Tamandua tetradactyla: one gene and its partner. The protein of the gene in region 2 binds, or shares a complex with, the protein of the main gene of each other region. Links are inferred from orthologs where the notes say so. Each region holds a gene or a part of one and is shown on either strand. Other genes may lie near its edges.

Region 1 (7,690 bases), on a different chromosome or scaffold from region 2:
AAGTGAGTAACTATACTGCTTTCTTGGTATATGTCACCACTCCCTCATTTGGGAAAGTTGAAGCCCAGATAAGAACTATTTTACACTTGCCTGTAGCAAAACAGTAAGGGAGCGAAGGACTTGGAATGATGCCCAAGAGCTTTTGTCTTTTGAGATTCTGTTGGTGATGGTGTCTTGTAGTTTCCCGCCCCTATCCCCTTACCTGAAGGTCAGTAGCATTTTTGGCTAGTCCACTTAGTGTCTCCTTTAGACAAGAAGTGAATTCTTGTTGGGAGGTCACGTCACTGCCTGGGAGCAATAAAAAAACCAGGGTCATTTAGGATTGTAACTGTCTACTTGGTTAGACTGACCTGGTTACAAGCTCGGATCTGGAACAAATACTACTGAATCACTACCACACTAAATCTACTACTCTATGGTATCTTAGTCATTGTCATGAATCTGCACAGACTGTGTATCTGTTTATTCTGCATGATGACACCCAGAATAACATTGTGATCTTAAAAATGATCAGTTTTGAATAATCATTTCTATTACTTTCCAACCTATCTCATCCCTTTCACTAAGGAGGGTTCCCACTCCTCCCTCCATCTCCTCACCTGACCCCAAGGCAGTGGCATCATGACTACTGTCAACCTTACTAAGAATTCTGGTGTTCTCAAGCAGATATGACTTAAATGGCTTGCTTATGTATTTCCTGCTGTTTGGAGACCCCTTCTCACCCACTTTCCCAGCAGCTTCTGAGAGCTTTTGGAACTGTTCCACCAGGTGGGGCTCTTCCTCAGCCAACTCCTTCATTGCCTTCTCAAACTCTGCAGTGGCTTGGGAAGCCAGCTCACTGTCAAACAGTTCCTGGAAAAACTTCTCTTGGGAGGCAAAGAGGGCATCCTGCAAGGGAGGGGTGGTCAAAATGCATCTTCTACTTGGCATTTCACTGTACCTGGGCCCTAGCAGAAGCCACAGAGAATGGCTCTAAGGAAATGCAGTGCTTCCCTCCTACTCACCTCCATTGGAGATTCTAACTGCCTCTCCTGATGAGGACAGAAAGAAAGGCATCCAACCACTGAGGGAAGAATATAGGGTGGCACCCCAAGCCAGCTATTTAAACCTTCTCTTTTCTCAAGGAACTTCCTTTAGATTCCTCCACTCAATCTCAAGTCCTTGTTTCACGAGGACAGACATTTGCAAAAGCACTCAGCAATGTGAGGCCAAGGCACCATGCCCCACTCCCCTCTGGCCCACAGGGGCCTGCCCTGCCCCACCTCTGCTCAGAGCTGCAAGAACATTCCCTCCCCTTCCCTTAAGTGGGTGGAATATATACTTTGGCAGTGTCTCCTGGCGATCTCTTCTGGGGCCCCGAAGCATCAGGGGCCATGGTGGTAGGAGGGGGTGCTGGGGAGGGTTTGGCCTTATCGAAATCATCAAGAGCACCTTCAGAGACAAGAGACATGGGGAGTGTGTTGAGGACAGGTAAGGATGCAAGGCTGGGTGCTTTTGGGACAAAGCATTAAGAGAATGATCTTACAAACTGCCAACTTTCCTAATTTTTTTTTCTTTTTTAAGTCTTCCCTTCCCACCTACACCACAGTAAGCTTCCCACTTCCCTCCCCATTACCTAATTTACTACAGTCAAAGGGAAAGAAATCATTTATGGTAGAATAGGCAAATATGTCTCAGAGCTGGAAGAAGGTTAAAGGAAGTGCTGCAAATAGCAAAGTACACCTCCATCTCTACTGTGCCTTCCTCAACACATTCTATTAATGATTCCCTAGAAATTCTATACAAATATCCAACAGGAGTAGGGAACATAGATATCCATAGCTCCCTGAACTCACTTTGGAGACGTAAAGGGAATAATCTTAGGCAAGAAAACAGAAACCATGATGTTTAGTTTAATTCATGGGAGGCTTAATTAGCTTCCTATCAGACCTGGTACTATTGCAAACTGCGGGACTACATTATGCATTCCCTGGGAGGGCTTTAAATCTTCTCTTGTTGTCCAATTTAATTATCCCTCTGGTCTCATCTCTGCAAATAATCACGTGCCAATTCACCTTCAATTGACACTCCTCCACTGTTTCTGTTCATCTTTCTGACCCCTCTCCCCCCCCACCCCGCTCCCACAATCACTATGACTGAGCTAGAGACGCAAAATTCACCTCCGCCCTGTAAAGCGTGTGATGTCACCACCACTCTGCTTGCCAGGCCTGGGGGGAGGGCACTGACCCCACTCTGGGCAAGAAACCAACAGAGTTGTGAAGAATAGGGAAAAGAAGAAAAGAACATCGTCTTTTATGAGAGTGAATTGGCTTCCCCTGAGGTCGTCTCTCAGTTTCTTAAACAAATGGGGCAGAAATCCACTAGAGTTAATGACAGGATCAAAGAACTGGAAAGGGGTGAGAGAAGGGTGAAAATAACGGGAGGAGGAACGAAGTGTCTTTTGTGTGGACAGGCCAGGGGCACTGAAAGACAATCTAGGGCTTTTGAAGATTTAATGTGAACAATCTATAAGTATCTGCTTCGCTGTCCACGGAGGACAAAATGCTGCTGCTGGCGGAAAGGAAGTCAAACTTAAAGAATGTATTGATCTAAAGCAAGGAGAGCTTGGAGAGATATCGTCCTATGGGTTACAGTTTTCCCATCTCTGGGATATCTTCCCAGAGAGATCAACGGTCTGGGCCGCTCAGGGACCCAAGGTGAACTCCGCAGCTCCCGCCGCTGAGTAGGGAGAGGGTGATCCAGAGATTTCACTCTGGTTCGCCCGCCCCCGTCCAACCTTTGGAGAGCCTCTCCCACTCTGCCCCACATATATCAGGTTCACTTAATCCCCTGAATGGGTCCTCACACCCGCCTCCTTTGGGCCTTTCCAGTTATTGACTCTTACTTTCCAAAAGCTCTTCTAATTCTTGGTCCGCTTCAGCCGTAACCTCACAGTTGTCTTCAGCGGCCGCCATCTTATTACCTACGACTCGCCGTAGGAGGCGGGACTCCTCAGCGCCGCCACGTGCCCGGCCTCTCGCCCCGCCCCCTCCTGCTTTGTACAACCAATGGTATTGTTAGCGAGTAGGCGCCGCCATTTTTAAAGGGACAGGAACTTTAATTTGCTTTTTTTTTTTTTTTTCTGTCAGAACCGGTTCAACTAATATGAGGGGAATTAATTATCTTCTACCTGGTTTCTTCCGCGCCTGGCCTCCTTTCTTTCAGCTTCCCATATTACCCAGAGAAGAAGCCGTTTCATTATTTCTACTCAAGCTGTGGTGGGACCAAATTATTACAAGCTGCTTACAAATAAACAGATGCTACGCATATATAACCAAGAAGACATTTATGGTCCGTAGAAATCCATTATTTTTCTCGCACTTCCTTTGGTATTTTACTCAAATGTCATCTTCGCTGAGACGCTTTCTTTGGCCTCATAAATAAAACTGCACTCCCCGCCCCCCCACATACACACAAGCATATATACTTCCTACTTACTCTTTTTTTTTTGCCTTAATACTATCTGATATGCTATGCATTTTATTATTTACCTTGTTTGTTGCCATCTCCCTCCCCCACCCTGCCCCGGTAGAATTTAAGCATCTAGAAGGCAAGGAATTTTGCCTGTTGTCTCCACTGCTGTATCCCCAGCTTGTAGACTAGAGCCCGGTACTTAGTAGGCACTAATTGGCGACTCTTTGCTCCCCAGACGCTTATCAGGCATGTTTCTCTGCCGAATTTAATGGATAGCTATCTCATTTCCTATTCTCCAAAAGGATTGATCTGACTAAAGGACACAGGACTAGGAATTTAATAACTCACTGTTAGCTGAATCAACTCAGGCAGAAAAAACGACTGTGGGGCCTTCCAATTGAACAAGAGAGCAATCAATGTAGTTAGCAATAGACCTGACCTAGTCTTTGGACGTTCCTATTTTTTCCTCATACAGAATCCAACTCCCAATCTAATTTTGAGAGTGAGGTGGGATAGGCTCAGATAGGGAGAACTCTGGGTATTCCTTCCCTCCTCTGGAATATGTCTCCCATTCAGATATGCCAGAATGCAACATATCTATTGTAGTACTTAGAGATATCTGCTATTGTTTAAGATCTTGTGCTGGGTACAATGGAGGATGTAGAGATAAATCAGGACCAGCCCCTGCCCTAATGTAGCTGCTTGGGAATTGGGCTAAAAGTAGGACTAGACAGACATACACACTTACTATGACACAAACTTGAAGTATTTGAAAAGAGTTAAGGATAAAAAAAGTAAAAGAAGGGAGAAATCACATCTAGGTGGGAAAAAATGTGTAAGTCACTTCATCCTTTTGGTCCTCAGCTTCCTAAACAAACATCTGGGTTCTGTGTATCAAGCACCACGTTAGGTACTCATTCTTTCCTTCACAGATCTAACACAGGCTTCTAAAATTATACCTGTGCAAAATCTACTATGTTTTTTTTCAAGCACAAGTGGTGTAATTTAGGAGAAAACCGGAAGGAGTTGGGAGTCAGAAGACCCAAATCCTAGTTCCCAGCTTTGTCACTAAATCAACTTGTGTCTTTGTTCAAAACTCTCCACCACTGTAGACTTCAGATTACAAACATGTAACATTAAGAGTTGGGACTCTTAAAATCCTTTTCAATTCTAAACTTCTATAGTCAAATCTTTTCCTATGCAACCCTTTTTCTCCCCAACACCTGTCACGTAATTGATTCTAGGTTACCTTTCTCATTAAGGTCTGAATTGCTTACATAATTATTATTGATAACATTTTACATGTATAAAATTTGTCCATTTACAGGTTAGTATTTCTATTGGCCTTACATTAATGGGGAAATATAAGCATGTTAATAAGGAAAATACTAGATGGTAATTGAGAGAATTAAGAGAGAGGGAGTCAAACAGAAGCCTGAATTTTCCTTTTTGTATTTTTAAACTTGTTTCTGCTTTTTAAATTTTTTCTATTATCTCGGTATTTACTCACCTCGCTGTTCCCTTTCTATTGTACAGTGAACATTATTTCAAAACAGTACTTATAGCATTTTCTTTCTTTATCACTCTCTTAAGGACTTAGCAATGATTCTTCAGTGCTTCTCAAAATTTTGTCTAATTTCACAATTTCATATGTATGTCCTAAATTAGATAAGCTTGAAGAGGCAAGGACCGCCAACTTTTTTCATATCTCAGTTCACGCAACTGTTTATATTCACATTAATTTGTTGTTTTTGTTTTGTTTTGTTTTGCACGGGCAGGAACTGGGAATCGAACCCGGGTCTCTGGCATGGCAGGTGAGAATTCTGCCTGCTAAGCCACCATCGCACCGCCCTGTAATTTAATTTTTAAACTCACAAAAAAGTTATTATCACCAGCTTACCTATGTTTACAGAAAGAATGTAGCTTGAGAAAGTGTTATCAAAGTAGTATGCAAAATTTTGAGAAGGCGGGCTTTGGGGACACTGCTTAAGAAAGCAACTCAAGAGCAGTGTGATGGTGGCTTGGTGGCAGAATTCTTCCCTGCCATGCCAACGACCCGGATTCATTTACCGGTGCCTACCCATGTCAAAAAAAAGAAAAGAAAGAAAGAAACTCAAAATAAAGGTAAAAAATATAAATTTCAGTTCTAGGAGATTAAACATACTTGTCCCACCTATACAGTGCATGATCAAATTATTCATTGCAGCCTTGTTCATAATAGCAACATTGGAAATAAGTTAAAAGTCCATCAAAAAGGACTTTATTAATGTCTTTGATAAATAAAACTTACATAAATTATGGCATATCATACAATGGAAGACTATGCAGAGAAGTAAAAATAGAGTGAAGAAACTAATACACTGATATGGACAAGTCTAAAATATGCTAAGTGAGAAAACCAGATGCAGAATTGTTAAATAATATGCTTCCATTTGTGTATTAAAGGGTGATAGGGAAGAATATATTCATATATGCCTGTTTATACATTAAAAAGAATCTCTGGAAGGATTTAAGGGCATAATAATGGTTACCTTTTGGGGGAAAGTGATAACAACTGGATATTGAGGGAAAAGGCGGGAAGAAGACTTTTAACAGTTTAGCTTTTCACACTCACTGATTTTTGAATTCTGTGAATGTATTGTTTATTAAAGACATAAAAATTTAAAAAGGACATATTTTAATCAAAGGCACTTCACCCAATTAAGTCCTTTCACATGACAAGCAAAATACCAGTGTAATCAGGAACAGTGACAGGCAATGGAAAGTGTTTAATAAATACTGGCTGTAACTAGCAATAGATAGAAGAATGCAGTAAAAAATGGACTAGGGGAATACTTGCTTTCTACCATTCTCACAGCAATTTAGATCTATGTCTAACATTTATCAAGTGAAAAATATGTACTTTTTTTAGTGTTTATTACTTTTGAAATTAAAATTATTTAAGTTGAAATTAAAAATAATCATTGAGAAAAAAATATTCCCCAAGTTGAATTTTTGTTCTCACAAGCAGTGCGGACAGCCAAAGCTATAGGCTGAGTCCCTAGTCTTGGGGCTTGTTCATATGAAACTTAACCTCACAAAGGATAGGTCAAGCCTACTTAAAATTAGGCCTAAGAGTCACCCCCACGATAACCTCTTCTGTTGCTCTGATGTGGCCTCTCTCTCCAGCCAACACAACAAACAAATTCACCACCCTGCCCCTGTCTATGTGGGACATGACTCCCAGGGGTGTGGACCTTCCTGGCAACGTGGGACAGAAATCCTAGAATGACCTGAGACTCAGCATCAAGGGATTGAGAAAAACCCTAGAATGAGCTAAGACCCAGCATCAAGGGATTGAGAAAACCTTCTCGACCAAATGGGGGAAGAGTGAAAAGAGACAAAGTGTCAATAGCTGAGAGATTCCAGAGTTGAGAGGTTATCCTGGAGGTTATTCTTACGCATTAAGTAGATATCACCTTGTTATTCAAGATGTAGTAGAGAGGCTGGAGGGAACTGCCTGAAAATGTAGAGCTGTGTTCCAGTAGCCATGTTTCTTGAAGATGATTGTATAACGATATAGCTTTCACAAGGTGACTGTGTGATTCTGAAAACCTTGTGTCTGATGCTCCTTTTATCTACCTTGTCAACAGACGAGTAGAACATATGGAATAAAAATAAATAGTAGGGGGAACAAATGTTAAAATAAATTTAGTTTAAAATGCTAGTGATCAATGAAAGGGAGGGTAAGGGATACGGTATGTATAATTTTTTTTTTCTGTTTTCGTTTTATTTTTTTTTAAGAAATGGTCATGATGATGAATATGCAACTATGTGATGATATTATGAATTACTGATTATATACGTAGAACAGAATGATCAAAATAGGAATGTCTGCATTTATTTGGTGGGCTTTTTTTGATATTTAAAAAATAAAATAAAATTATTAAAAAAAAAAAGAAAGTGTCCAAGAAACAAACAGCAAGCCAAGAAGCTCTTGTAGAAATTTAGTTTATTTACCATGAGAAACAAAATAAGAGAACTATGGTTGCAGGACACAAATCAACCTAAAGTGGTATGCATTTCTGGAAAGCCAAATGGTACCCTCCCAGTCCTTAAATTTCTGGGTACTCAGAAATTTGAGAGTTTCACTGCCCAAGGAAAATAGAGGATGACTAAGAGTTTGGTAGGACGGAGTTAAAAATGGTATCTTACTACATTCCTTTTCTTTCTAGACAAATGACACAAAGGTGGTAGG
Region 2 (7,161 bases):
TCAACAGTATTGAAGTTGAGGAATATTGAAGTTGTATGTATATTGTGTTATATCAGTCTTACAACAACCCGAGGAGATTGGTCCTATATTTATTGTCTCAATGAGGCACTGAGAGGTCATGCAATTTGCCCAACGTCACATGGCTAATAAACAGCAGAGCCAGGATTCAGATTCGGGCAGCCCAACTTTGGCCCACAAGACTCATCTCTCTGCCATGGTGCTTTTTAGTTGCTGTGTGTCTGTGAGTTATTTGAAAACAGGTTCATGTCTCGTTCATCTTCATCCCCAGGATCTAACACTGCGTCCGGCACATAGAAGGCTGTCAGTTAACGTTGCTTAATAAATGCTTAAAAGCCAGACAAACAGCAATCAGTTGACTGTGTAGTAAAATTAATCATGATGAATGTGGGACTGCATAGGTCATTTTACATATAGCCAGTGTTTCTTACCTGAATTATTGTATGCCCACTTCTCATCACCAGCCAGTGCCACAAACTTAGTATTGGAAGGTAGACACAGGAAGTAATCATCATCATCCACTATGGTGCCATCCTCTGCCAGGACCAGGGTAACTGGTGCCAGGGACGTATCAATAGCCAGAATGTCACAGGCTGAGAGGGATAAAATATTTGGCAACTGATGAATTCTATCTTTGACAGAACTCAAGATCCAAAGAACAAATTCACATTCATATGGAAATTACATCTGTCCTTGCCTTATCAACATGTATGCCTCCAGGATCTAGCAGAATTCCTGGCATGTAATAGTAGTAATAACTACAATAACAACTGCAACTATTAGCACCAATCACTATAGCTTTACCGTGAAACTGGCACTGTTCTAATTGCTTTTCATATATAGTATTTAATCCTCACAACAACCCTACAAGGTAGGTACTATTAGTATCATTCGCATTTTACATTTGACAAAACCAAGGACAAGTGAGGTACCTGGTCAAGGTAACACAGTAAGTGGCAGAGCTGGGATTTAAACCCACTATGGTTCTTAAAAATGTGTTTCCTAAAGCTACTCTACTACACCACACACAGGAGACACTCAAGCCTTTACTTCAATGAATGACAAACTATACCAAAGTCTGGCTTGATTCTTTGTGAAGAAGAAATCTTTCATTCATTTATTCAGTGGTCATCTTAAATTCTCCTGTATCAAAAGTCAAAAAAAGAAAAGGAAGAAAAATGCTTTTTGTTCTTTATAGCATCTTTCTTTTGAGGCCTTTCTACCCTCCAGGAAAGGATAAGAGAAGGAGAGGTTGCATTAGTAGCTTTTCATCTTTATTATCCCTGGGCAAGAGCAGTGTCGTAGCATGCCATTTAGTGACAGCAAAGCTAACTATGTGAATGGGACTGGAATAAGCAGAAGTAGTCCAGACACTACAAATATTGTTAGTACATGTTGTCTATCATCCAAGCAGAAAAGCAAGACTTGTACAGGCCAAGCCCTCCAGAACACAAGCACCTGCCCAAGCCTCTGGGCCAGCCAGGTACATCCAGCTGATGCAATGAAGTGGCAATAAGACTTAAGTAACCTAATACCCAGAAGAAACGTAAGGCAAAAATCCATGTCACCAAAGCATTTATACTACTTGGCTGCTTCTGGAAGTCTGAGAGACTTCTATATGGTAATCTTTTGGGGTTTAAGTGACCCTGAGAGGGAGCACAGCTTGCCCGCACTCTTAACTACAGGCCTGGGGCTGGCTGGCACATTTAACTCGTTTGGATAAACAATTTGTTGCTACGTGCTAATAACACGTCAATCATTTGAATGTAGCATCTCATTTGAGAGTTCCAACAATTCTGTGAGTCAAGGATGGAAATATTATATCCTGTTTTCAGATGAGAAAAATCAGGCGCAGAAGTGTTAAGTGCAAGGTCAAGCGGCTAGGAAGAGTATGAGGTCAGGGCTCACGACTCAGAACTTCTGTGAGCTCAGGCATCCATAACACCGTCCCTTTTTCCGGACCGCCAGATCAGTTGGAAGCAGCTCTGTATCTGCGCCCAGGTACCTGCCACAGCTGATGGTGGACCTTCATCTCCGGCTCGGCTAGAGGTCCTAGGACCACTTCAGTGAGCCGGAGTGGCACGAATACCCTGGGCTAGATTTAATATGAAAAATTTTAGGCAAGACATCGAAGCCGAGTTGGTCTTAATAACATCTTGCTACGGGCCTACTTTTCCATCATTATGACTCTCACACAGGAGGGATTCGGTTACAGGGTCTGTAAACTACTATCAATGCTTTGAAATCTACAAAGCATTATATCCACGTAAGTCATTTCTGTGCGGCTCCCCACGGCTCCATCAGAACTCCACGTCCTGGGGATCATCTCCCCGTCCCCCGCCCAACTTCCTCACCCGTTCCCGTGTCCCCCAGACCCCCGACCCAGTTCCGTGCCAACCCTTGTTCCTCAGCTCCTCGAGGCAGGAGGCCGCCACGCCGTACTGTTCGCGGCTGTGGTTACTACGCAGCAGACAGGGCTTCAGAGCCCGGGCTTCGCCGTGCTCGGAGGCCCCAGAGACCCCAGTCACCTCCATCCTCTTCTAGGCGGGACTTGTCTGACTCCTGGAAGTGGGGTAAGCTCGGCGAGGCGGGACCCCCTCGCCCGCGGCATGCCGGGAGATGTGGTTCTTTCTGCCGCAAACCACGCGTGGGACCAAGGCACGCCGGGAGATGTAGTCCCCTGTCGTCCCTAATCATGTGCCGACCTCGGGGCACGTCGGGAGTTGCAGTCTCTCAATCTAAAAAAATCTCAGTTTCCTTAACGTCGTGCCATTCACCTAGGCAGTATTTTGTTTCAGCCTTATATTTAGGAGTTACAATTGCACGTTAAACAGATGAGGCCAATAGGAATTTATTTCGCATAGTGAAATACACGCATGTATACTCCTCGAATATTTAGAGCACTTCTATTTGTATATATAGTGCGTAATATTAATATGCAAACAAGACAAAGTTGATTGGTTTTACCTTTTCAATCTGAAAAGATCTGTAGGATCCAACCTTCCAACTTCCTTGATTTGAAGGAAGTCAATGTTAAATATTAATAGGTGTAGTTTTCAGTCACACGTAACGAAGTAGCATAAAATACTTGCACATTTCCATCCATTTGGTTCCCCGCTTCAGCTTGTGCAAGTTGGGTTGGGCCCTCAGCACAAGATGGTTAAATAAATAGATTTAAACATTATAGCAACAAAGCAATCAGAGGAAAGGGGAAATGTGAACCAAAGTTCTGTTTGAGATTCTAAGAGATGTTGTTTGACAATCCTTGTTCTAATACTACTACTTACGGAAAAACTAACATTCAAGATTTGAAGAATTAAAGAAAAATTTTACTAAAAAGCGTCTCCGCTTTAAAAAGGAGTGTTTTATGTAAAAAGAACTAATTGTTGGCCCATATTCATTCAGGGTCAGTCTCTTGCATATTTTGCTTATAAAAATTTGGCTGAGAAATCAGTTATGTCATAAGAAAAGTGTGTGTATTTAAAACGGTCTTTGGTAGGAGGGCTTGTTAATGAGTATTCCTCAGTTGATCAAAACACAATACAATATGAGTTGGCTGATGGTTCTAATGTATGCATCCCTTTTCATATAATCACATATTTAGTTTAAAACTTAACTCAAATACTCTTCTCTTGTTCCCCCAAAAGACCCCTCACATAGTTATGGGTGTCCTGTCCTCACAATGATCTATTTAATCATGGGTGGATGGATGGTGGGTTGGGGTGTTTTGCCTGGACTTTTGGAAGCAGGGATTGGCTCTTTATTTCTAGCGTCTAACAAAGTGCCTAGCAAATAGTAGGCGCTCAATAAATGGTACTGGACTGAATGGCCAAAAATTAATTTGCAATTCATTTACTATATACTTAGCAAGTCAATAAATATGCCCAAGGTACTCTGGGGATGGGTAGATACTTAATTCAACAAGAATGACAGACACATAACAATTCAAAGAGGATAGACTTCGGAAATTCTCTAAAGTAGAGACTTATCGGAGATTGTGCTAGCTGACTCGGGCACTCCGGTCCCCCTCCTCCTCCCTCCGTTTCGGGCCCTCTACCCCAATCGACCGGTTCAATTCCTGCTACTTTAGTCTGGACGGGAGAGCGAGAGCAAGGGCGCTTGGGAGATGCCTCGCTCAGCGGCGATAGATTAGTCAAGCCTCAGAAAGATGGCGTCCTCGGAGCAGGCAGAGCAGCCGAGCCAGGTAAGGGGAGCAGGATTGCCCAGTCGTGGCCGCGGGGACCGCGGCTGGAGGGGGCGCTCGGCGCTCGTCCAGGAGCTAGGTGGGGACCCCGAGTTTCCGAAGCCGCGGTCCTCGATCTCTGTTCTTCCATGGGCCCCGCCCCTCTCCGGGTCCCCGCCCGACCCCCTCCCTCAGTGACCCCTCTTTGACCACATTTCGGAGCCCGGGTTCTAGGGCTCGGCTGCATCCGTGGGTCACCATTTGCCACTGCCAGCTCCTCCGATCCCACTTGAGTTTGGCGGGGACAGTGGTTGGACCCTTAGGAAACCCCCAGCCCAAGGCTCCGAGGGCATTTGCTTGATGGAGGTGAGAAGCTTCTTCGTTCCTGGCTGCCTCCTTGGGGGATGGGCCGGCCCCCTCCGGGGTCCAACTCCCCCACAACCTCAGTGTCCTGGGGTTGTCCAGCTGCCAGCTTCCTCGTCTTTAGTCACCTTTGCGCTCTCGCCCCCAAATTGGAGGGTCGGGATTATACTCACACTCTCGGCGGTGGGGTGGGGGGTGGGGGCGAAAAGGACGCACAGTAACAACAGACGCCGCCCAGCCTTTGGCAGAGAATCGGTCTTTGCTTTCCTGGGTTTGGCTTTCTCGGCCAAAGGTTCCACTCTAGCCTTTCACCCACAAATTTCAGCCAAATCTCACGCCAGTAGAGGGATCATGAGGACCAGTGTTCACGCCCCTAAGTCTGCTGTCAGGGAGAGGTGGTTGATAAAGGTCTCTGAAGAGACTTTTAGCCCGAAGGTGGGGTAGGGTGGGGTGAGGTAAGTTTACGAGTGTGTGCTATCAAGTTGAGCACAGTTTATGTTTATGAGCTCAGGCTATTAACCCCCATTTTATAGAAATGGATACTAAGGTTCTGTAACATGCCGAAAATCTGTTATGCTCTTGATTGAGCCAGGATTTAAACCTAGGTAAATGTGGCTCCGCTAGTCAGCCATATATGCTTCCATCTAGTTAGAATTAGATAGAGGAAGGAAAAACTGTTTTTTAACCTGACACCTCATCATTTATCTCTCTTCTCTAGTCTCTTGAAACACCTTCAGGTGGTTTCGATAATTTACTGATATATCTTTTCCTTCCTAGGTAGAAGACCAGCATTTAGTGTTTCATATTTTCTTATTCACTGTGAGTCTGTACAGGAACTGCACTTAAAGGAGTTGTTGTGTGCCCAGACCAGCCTCTGCTAACAGTGTGTATTATTCAGGAAGATGATGTCTGGGATGTAAAGCATAAAAAATAGGGCTGACTCTGGCCTTGTTAACTGTCAGAGTTCTGGAGTTTGGGAAGTGTCTATAGAGGAGGAGCCTTCCTTTCTTGCCTTATTCCACTCAGCTGAATTATTGAGGCTCCTCAAGATCTGGACTTCTTTGAACTGTTATGTGTTAGGAACATCCACAAATGGGGATTCGAGGTGACTTAGTCACTGATTCTTCTAGGACATACCATTTACCAGTGCTATGAAAGTCACTAAATATCTTGCCACTTGGAGCCATTGCAGTTCCCAGGGCTTTCTTTGGTTTTGGAACTTGACCTCTCTGTCCATGTGAAAAAGGATCTAAATACCTTTAAGGGGGCTTGGCCAGCACTTGTTTGGTTTTCAGCTCTGGTTCCCTTTACGGTCCTTTCTAAAGCTGGTGGAGATGGGATTACCTCAGAATATGTAGGCAGCCTGTGGAAAAACCTGAACTCTCCAGGCTGAATTCTATCGATGTCTAACAATAAGGTTCAAATGCGCACGTTTAAGTGAATCAACTCTCTTTAGTTGCTTGTCATTTCGTTTTAAGTCCTAATCTATCTGGTGTACCGTTTTTCTGCTAGAGTATGATTGAAAGAACTATTTGGTAATTCAGCAACCAAACCTGGTTTGTATATACACAAGGTTAGGCCTATAGGACTGGGGGAGTGAGTATTCTTTCTCTTATAGAAAATTTGATAGTTAGCCTTGTGGCATCAGTCTCTGGTTTCAAAAGATTAAGGGTGAACATCTTCAGAGAAGAGCAGAGAATATGCTTGAATCTGCAATCAATGTGATCGAATCTACTGAACATATAGATTTCAAATCTTTTTCGATTCACTGGATATAGTAAGTTTTGGATTGAGAAAACAGACGCGGATAAGGAGGAGAGCACAAGCACTGGCCTTGCATTCAAACAGACTTTGGTTTGAACTCTAACACTCACTAGCTGTGGAACTTGTAATTACTTTCTGAGCATCGATTTTCTCCTCTATAAAATGGGAGTAATAACAGTTACTGTAGAGGGTTGCTATGGGGGTTGACAAACCACAGATATGAAGAGTACCTGGGACATAATAAGTGCTCAGTAAATGTCAGTTTTCTTCCTCAGGTTTCTACATATAGGCTCTTTTTTAGGTGTATGGTCCGGGAACCGAATACATGTTGCTTTGAAATTCTTTTGACCTCTTGAAATAGTAATAGTTCAAACAAGATATTTCCCCCTACAGAAACTTACAGGAAAGTTGAAAGAAGAGTGGAGAAAACTCCTATAAAACTTTCATGAAACCTTCATCATGAAACACTGTTTGTTCACATTTTGCCAGGTTTGCTTGATATCAATCTCTTTAATAGCTTTTTCTTTTGAAGTATTTGATAACTGAGTACCAGACATCATATTATTTTATCCCAGATTACTTTACCTTATATCTTATTTTCTTACTTACCCCCACATACCATTATTGCACAGGAAATTTAGTAGATTCACTAGTATCAAGTTTACCATTTACATTCATTCATTTTCTCAGTTAAAATCATCATGATCTCATCAAAAAACAGGATTGTGTTGCTTTGTCTCTTTAGTCTCCTTTACTCTAGAATGGGGTCCTAGCCTTTTTTTTAAACTTTTTTGTTGTATAGTATAACATATATACTAAGCAAAGAAATGAAA

Evidence for each region. The genes of interacting proteins can lie anywhere in the genome.
Region 1: the proteins of PEX14 (region 2) and PEX19 are in contact, whole or in part, in an NMR structure (PDB 2W85), measured with the Homo sapiens proteins. The link is inferred for Tamandua tetradactyla from reciprocal best matches to the Homo sapiens genes PEX14 and PEX19. Residues at the interface, in NP_004556.1 of Homo sapiens: Leu28, Thr31, Ala32, Lys34, Phe35, Asn38, Ser39, Arg40, Val41, Ser44, Thr48, Phe52, Lys56, Leu58; in NP_002848.1 of Homo sapiens: Gln67, Phe70, Phe71, Leu74, Phe75, Ser77.

The regions. Positions count from the first base shown.
Region 1 is NC_135330.1:13,332,777-13,340,466, forward strand, and holds the start of PEX19 (peroxisomal biogenesis factor 19), read right to left. Parts: upstream 3,017-7,690; 5' UTR 2,955-3,016; coding exon 2,885-2,954; intron 2,114-2,884; exon of another isoform or gene 2,089-2,113; coding exon of another isoform or gene 2,055-2,088; intron 1,432-2,054; coding exon 1,322-1,431; intron 889-1,321; coding exon 723-888; intron 289-722; coding exon 203-288; intron 1-202. UniProt on the Homo sapiens protein: Necessary for early peroxisomal biogenesis. Acts both as a cytosolic chaperone and as an import receptor for peroxisomal membrane proteins (PMPs).
Region 2 is NC_135328.1:214,913,661-214,920,821, reverse strand, and holds the start of PEX14 (peroxisomal membrane protein PEX14), read left to right. Parts: upstream 1-4,161; 5' UTR 4,162-4,186; coding exon 4,187-4,222; intron 4,223-4,294; exon of another isoform or gene 4,295-4,561; coding exon of another isoform or gene 4,562-4,567; intron 4,568-7,161. Other genes in the region: DFFA (DNA fragmentation factor subunit alpha), read right to left, coding at 450-611, 2,417-2,552. UniProt on the Homo sapiens protein: Component of the PEX13-PEX14 docking complex, a translocon channel that specifically mediates the import of peroxisomal cargo proteins bound to PEX5 receptor.